Linked DNA regions of Caenorhabditis elegans. The protein of the gene in region 1 purifies or fractionates together with the protein of each later gene. This does not show direct contact. Each region holds a gene or a part of one and is shown on either strand. Other genes may lie near its edges.

Evidence for each region.
Region 2: the proteins of sqst-5 (region 1) and Y47G7B.2 fractionate together in Caenorhabditis elegans (co-fractionation; one large-scale study listed by BioGRID). This does not show direct contact.

Annotation. Positions count from the first base shown.
Region 1 is NC_003281.10:146,229-149,567, reverse strand, and holds sqst-5 (ZZ-type domain-containing protein), read left to right. Parts: upstream 1-1,947; 5' UTR 1,948-1,960; coding exon 1,961-2,207; intron 2,208-2,253; coding exon 2,254-2,585; 3' UTR 2,586-2,599; downstream 2,600-3,339. Other genes in the region: fbxb-84 (F-box domain-containing protein), read left to right, coding at 3,105-3,184, 3,232-3,339.
Region 2 is NC_003280.10:2,706,237-2,710,169, reverse strand, and holds the start of Y47G7B.2 (DUF4781 domain-containing protein), read left to right. Parts: upstream 1-2,155; 5' UTR 2,156-2,231; coding exon 2,232-2,740; intron 2,741-2,788; coding exon 2,789-3,041; intron 3,042-3,086; coding exon 3,087-3,294; intron 3,295-3,701; coding exon 3,702-3,933. Other genes in the region: T05A8.1 (SH2 domain-containing protein), read left to right, coding at 831-1,045, 1,091-1,340, 1,383-1,520.

The DNA.
Region 1 (3,339 bases):
ATGAAGTTGATCTTGAAAAACTAGAAATCTTAGAGCAACTCGGAGACGGTCAGTTTGGACTTGTTAACAGAGGATTGCTGCAGAAAGTTGATCCCCACAGCTTGATCGAATACAAGATTCGATTGCAAGTAGCGGTTAAACGTTAGTTAAATACTGTTGAATTTGTGATGAATTTTGATCTCATAGGTGCAAAAACAATGAATAACTTGGAACAGCAAAAAATGATGGTAGACGAACTGAAAGTGATGTGTGCTATTCCAAAACATCCAAATGTAATTGCTCTTGTAGGAGCTGTCACTAAACAAATCAAAGAGTGAGTAAATCAAAGAGTGAAAGACAAATCAAAGAGTGAAAGAGTGACAAATAATCCAGATTTAGCATAATGGATTAATCAAATTTCAGTGGTTTCCTTTACGTTATTACCGAGTACATTAATGGTGGTGATCTGCTTAAGTACCTGAGAAAGCTTAGAAGCCATTTTAAAAACGAACTTTGTAATAACGATATAGTTTTACATGTGTCTGAAAAAGAATCATGTGAAAAAGAGGAACTTCTTGTCGATGCGTTTGATTCGCTGTCAACTTCTGATTTGTTATCCATTGGACTACAAATTGCAACTGGAATGGAATGGCTTGCCAGTGTTCCGGTGAGCACAGCCAGTTGATTAATTGCAATAAATCTTTAATTTCAGTGTGTACATCGTGATTTGGCATGCAGGAATGTACTAATAACCAAAACCAAAATTATTAGAATTGCTGATTTTGGGCTCACAAAAAGTTTGCTAGCAAATCATACTACAGGTCTCCAGTCTCCAAAACAAATCTTGTTCAAATTTAAAACTTTAGATTGAAAACCGACACAGTCCTTCCAGTACCAACAATGTCCTCAGAAGCAATCGATGACTTGAAATTTACTGAGAAGTCTGACGTTTGGTCATTCGGTCTATGTCTCTACGAAATTTTCACTTTGGGTGGAACTCCTTATCCCAATTGTGGCTCGATTCAAGAAGTCATTGAGTTTATTGAAAATGGGAATCGAAATGCACAACCCAAATACTGTCCGGATGAAATGTAAATATGTTCATATATTCTGAAAAAAATCTCTAAAATTTTAGCTATAAGTTGATGAAAATGTGTTGGAAAACATCTCCAAAAAAACGTCCCACTTTTAAGGAATGCGTCAAGTTTTTCAAAAATTACATGCAAGAGGAGGTTCGATTGAAACTAGAATTTTCATGGGAGGCAGGGGTAGTTTTTACGCCTGACGCAGGGGTCCTTGCTTTCTCTAGTTGGAGCTATAGAATTTATTGACTAACTAACTTTTAGCAAATTAGATGTATTATATTTCAGGTTGTACAAAACATTGAAAGAAAACTGCAATTTGAAAGGGAAGAGCAACAGGAATTGGATTCTTGGACTGGAAAATCTCTCAGAGCAGAAGGAGTAGAGGATAAAGAAACTGAAGTGTTGGATAAACTGTAATTGATTGCAATAAATAGTACACATACATACGTTTGTATGTATAAAAAAGTATATTATACTAAACATTTACTGTTAATTCAATTCGTATTTGTCTCTACATTTTCTGATTTTTGGTATACATGATCTGCCACAAAACGTTTCACAAACTCAACTTTCACTTCCAGGCCGTATGTTTTAGTTTTATTATCAATTCGCCCGACAAAAACTCTTATCGGTGAAAATGTACGTGTGGCTCTATTGATTTGAGCTTTTTTGTTAAATTTTTTTTTGTGGTGTTTTTTCTGTAACCAGTCCTGGTTGTTAGCTGTCACTTCCTTTTTTATGCTTATAAATGAAGCTTCAATATTTTTTATGAAGCTTCAATATATTTTTTGCCACCAACTCTAATAGTATTGCAGTTTATATGTATTCTTACTGATAACATAAGCGTTCTTTGGTTTTGAAGTTGATTTTTCATCTTATTTAGAAAATTGTTCAGCATGACTTTAACAAAAGAAGAAGAGCTGGAGTTTATTCCACAAGAGCGACGTCTCGATGTTCTGGTTAACGCCCAGAAAACAATTTGTGAAACTAAAGAAAAGAAAGGGCGGATAGTTTTTGTGACATTCGCCACAAAATTCGACAAAAAAGTGGTTGAAATTACCTTAGATGAAGAGGACCCGCTGAGCCAGTTGTACAAAACAGCCCAGGAAATTTTTCCTTACTTCTCATGGCGGTTTTGTCTTGGTGAGTGATAATAACAGGAATCTTGCATGATATCATCCTTTTTCAGATGAGCCAACCAATCTCATTGAAGGCTTGTCAAACAAACGCCGAGTTTTTGGTAGTATCAAGCAATCCCGTTTCTACAACTTTCTCTATCTTGTCATCACTCTCTTACCGACTTATCATCCATTCGACTGTGACGAGTGCAAGGCAGAATGCAACTGGAATAATCGATACAAATGCACAATATGCGCCGATTATGACCTTTGTAGGCAGTGTGAGGCAAAAAACTTGCACGCAAATCATGCAATGCTTAGGATTCTCTCTAGTGATACCGAACTACCTAAATATATGTATATGAGTTCACCCAGTTTTGTTTCTGAACACTGTTCAAAATAAATTGTTATATAATATACCAGCCGTGGACCGCACCTCCGACGCGGCCCCAGACTTCTGGGGCTGAAAACTAATTTTTCTGAAACTACCGTAACCCTACAGTATTTCTACCGTACCACTATTGTACCACTACAGTACCCCGACTATATCCCTACACTAACCCCAACTCACTATCCCCACAGAAGCCAAAACTTCACAGACTACAAAGACTACATAGACTACAAACTATGGACACAATAAGCGCTTTATATATAGTAAATGATTTTTTTTTAATGTGCATAGCAAACAGGAAAAACAAATGAAAGTTGCGCGGATGAGCTCAATATTGGAAATTGGTTAGAACCAAGTAGACACTACGATTTATTGATCAATGTACCATGTTTCAAGTGAGACTGGTTTGCTCTTTATCTAGTGGAGTGTTCATTCATTGCGCAGCTGGAATGCGGTGTCTACTCGATCGATTACCAAGCGTCTGCTGGGCCACCAAACCTCCCATTCCAGTCATTCATTCCCTTTACAACCATGACGAGTGGTTTCCCACTTCTTCGATTACCTTCAAAACCTCTACGTTTTCTACTTCAAACAATGAAATTAGTAGATGTGTAAGTTAATTTCTTCAGTTTTTCAAAGTATAGCTATTTATTTTCAGAGTGAGCATCTCTTTTACCTCAAAAGCTGCAAAACGTCATGTTGAGGAGTTGAACATTAACGTTTCTTATATTAATATGTTTTTGTCAACGTCAACGATGAGATTAGT
Region 2 (3,933 bases), on another chromosome or scaffold:
TTTCACAGTGATCTTCTGAATATTCTTTCGAAATCTTTGAAAGAGTTGCTAAAAAAAATTCGTGAATGCACGAACAAAGAAACATTGAAAACACTATTAAATAAACTAGAAAAGTGGTTACTATCGGACAGTTTTTATTTAGGTAGACCTGCATAAATAAATCAAACAAATGATTCATATATTTTCAGGTGTTCTCAAGCTACTCAAAGAGTTTCAGAAATTCATCCAGAAAATCTGCAAAGAAGGGAAGTATCTTGGCGAACGTATTAACAATAACGGACAAATACAGGTATTTTATAGAATTAATGATACCAAAGTTCTTGTCATTTGTCTATCCGAACTACTCTACGCACCAAGAGACGGCTATGATTTGCATTCACCGTGCAGGCCAATCAGAAAAATAATCACAATGTTTGTAACAAGTATGGAAAAGGTGAAATACTGGAAAGAATCGCGGTGGCCAATAACAAAAAACCATGGCTGTTTTAAGCCATTCTAAATTTAATTTTTCACGTTTTTTTCCAAATTGTAATTTCAATAAATGTATATGTATTTGAACATTGAAAGAAAACAACTTAAAAAAAAAGCAAAAAAGGCAACCGGTGCGAGTCTGAAAATTTGTGTGAAAAATACTTTCGTCTACACTTTAATTTTTCGCAGGTTTAAACTTTTCTTACTGACAAGAACGTCAATATATTAAGGCTTAGCAATACTTTCCAACGCTTCCTCATTCATGGCACTGATAACGTTTTTATACGACAGGGCTACTTCACTATTTTCTTCATTTTTCACATTTCTTCCTAATTCACATTTCTCCAAGCAGAAAATTAATGTTTTCTGCAACTCTGTCAAAAAGAGCACCGATCGGTGGATCTGGTCCACACCGTCTGATAGAAGATAGGAAGGAGTACTGGTATGATCCTCGTGTTGACCGAATTGTGGTCGCTGCTGATCCACCGTGTAGCGATGCGCTGGAAATGATTGCAAATTTCAATCCTGATGCTCCGGCACTGGATTTGAACGACCTTCTTCGGATATTCAAAGCGTAAGTACCCAAGACCTCAATTTTTCTAATAAGTACCTTTTCCAGTCAGCAAAGCAACGCGTTCAACCCAAAATCCCGCACCGACGGGGGCAGCTATAACACCAACGACAAACGTGTCAGTAGAGCTTCCTCTTATTCATCACAACTACCAAAAGGAACTCTGCAAGAGCAACATCCAAACGTGTACCTGAAAGACGAGCGGAATCCAAACGGTCGGGGAGGTGTCCACAAGGCGTATTCATCTAGAGATCTGTTTTTTGAACTGGTGGTGATGCCTGATAGCTTTAAATTTACTGTAAGTTGGAGCTAAAGGTAGGATGTACCTGAACGTTTATAGACCGCTGTGGTAGCAAACTGCGCAAAGGAAGGTCTTCTCCATTCCCTGATCAGACATGGAAATCAGTTCTGCAACCTCCCGAACAACGATCTTGTCCTGAAAGACATTCTAGACGTGATCCCAAGTCACTTGAGGTGAAGGCTCTTCGAGAAGTGAATGATAAATTGGGGAACAAGAAGTTGAACAAGAACCTACGAATGAAGGAGGTCACGGATGACGATTATGAAGGTGAGAGTAACTGATAAAACGTAGATCATACTATTCAATTTTCACAGATCTATTGAAACTATTGGGAGAATTTCACGTCTTCATACAACGAATTGTCCAGTCGAAGAACTACCGCGGGGAGCGTGTGAACACCAACGGGCAGGTGCAAATCTTTTGGGACATAAATGGATCTGACTACCTAGTCCTCGCTGTTTCCGAACAATTGTGGAATGGAAAACTCGAGTACGACACTACAAGACCGCCACGACCTATTAAGACAATTATTACTATTTTTGTTACATCTGCACAAAATGTAAAGAAAATTAGAGAAAGTTGGCCAGTGACAATGCAATATAAATAAGTGTGATGTGATTTTTATTATATAATATATATAAATGAAAATATAGAATATATCATTCTTTGCATCATTTTTTATATTATCATTTGCCGGAACTAAATTTCAAATTGGCGTCGACAAGTGAGAGACGCAGGCATACCGCGTGTTTTGTTTTTTACGTCTGCGTCTCCACCCTCACTATGGACAACAACAATATCATTGCTCAGCCTTAAAAGTTTACATGTAAACACCGCATTCCGTTTTCAATATTCATTCTTTCCGTCTTCTGCGAACGCCTCAAAACAATGGAGGCACATATTGCTGCTAAAATGGCCGTAGGTTCAGGCGGCCTACTTTCCACCATGCTTACCAGACTTCTCGGTCCGAAACTCGGAGCTTATGTTTCTACAAGGCTCGGAACAGTCCTCGGCACCAGGCTCAGTGCCCTACTCGCCACAAAGCTTGGTGCAATCATTGGCACAAGTACTGCAACGTTGGTTGTTGGTATGCTTTCATGGGCGGTTTACCTTGGAAGCATCGGATATTGTGCTTACGCGCTGATCAAATTATTTTCTTTACACAGAGGGATCGCTTACTCGTCAGATGAGAGAAAAACTTCCTCGAGTCGTGCAAATTACCAAAGTACTCCTGAGAGCACGAATTCTTTGAATCGTACATCAGAATATTGGTATGATCCCACTTTCGATCAAGTCGTCAAGTCTAGAAATCCTCCGAGTCAAGAAGCGATTCGTGTGATCGGCAATTTCCAAGAAGATGGATCGACTACGGAGGAGATCTTTGAGCTGTTCAAAGCGTGAGTTTCTGCCCGGTACTTGAAGGTCTGACCTCTAACATCTTCCAGACAGCAACGCGATGCCTTCAACCCGAAGTTCCGCTCCGATGCGGGCAGCTACAACACGAGCGATAAGCGCTCCAGTAGAGGTGGTTTCTACTCATCCCAGGAGCCCAAAGACACATTACAAGATCGTCATCCGAATGTGTTCCTTCAAAATGAGCAGAATCCCAACAACAACAACGGGAAGGTTGAGAATCTCTATGCTTCAAGGAATCAGTTCTGGATGAGCATCGTGGCTCCGGAGAATTTCTCGTATACGGTAAGGAGTAATGCTATTAAAAGAAAATTTTTCAGCATTTTTCAGATGGTTGCCCTGGCGAACAATACACGTGAAGGACTTCTCCATTCATTGATTAGACATGGTCATGAGTTCAAATTTGGTGAAGATCTTCTGGATGCGCTTCCGGGAAATCTGAAACAACTGGTGCAACAGCTCAGAAAGGAGAACAACCGCGATCTGAATATTGTGCTAGAGAAGGAGATTCAGAAATTGTCCGAATCGGAGTATCGAGGTAAATATTAAGAAATGTATTTGGATTTTGGTAAAAATGCTCTTACTGTAGGGTGGGGGTTGCAGAAAGGGTGATGTAGGATTTCTGTAGTATTACTGTAGGAGTCTTGTTGGATTACTGTAGCAGCACTGTAATGGCGCTGTAGTTGTACTTTTGGGGGTGCTGTAGCATTACTGCTAAGGTACTATTAGAATACTGTAGGTTTGCTGTCGTTTCTGTGAGGCCACTACATGTGTTACTGAAAGGTTACTGTAGGATTACTGTAGTGGTACTGTAGGAATACTGCTAGGGCACTATATAAATATTGTTGTACATATTGTTACTGCTGTTCAAAACGCTAGGCAAAAGTATGAAGGTACTGTAATGGTACTGTAGGATTACTGTAAGCAAACATTTTCTGTTTTCAGATCTGCTCAAGCTCTTGGAAAAGTTCCAAACCTATATCCAGCAAATCGTTCAACGCGGAAATTACATTGGTGAACGTGTGAACATCAACGGCCAGATGCAGGTTTACTGGAAAATCAACGATAAGGAAGTCCTGGTGACGGCTCTTTCTGAGCAGTTGTACTGTGGAAATGTGCAGTATGACGCTGGAGGAAGGGCTCGACCAATTCGGAAAATTATCACTTGTTTTGTGAC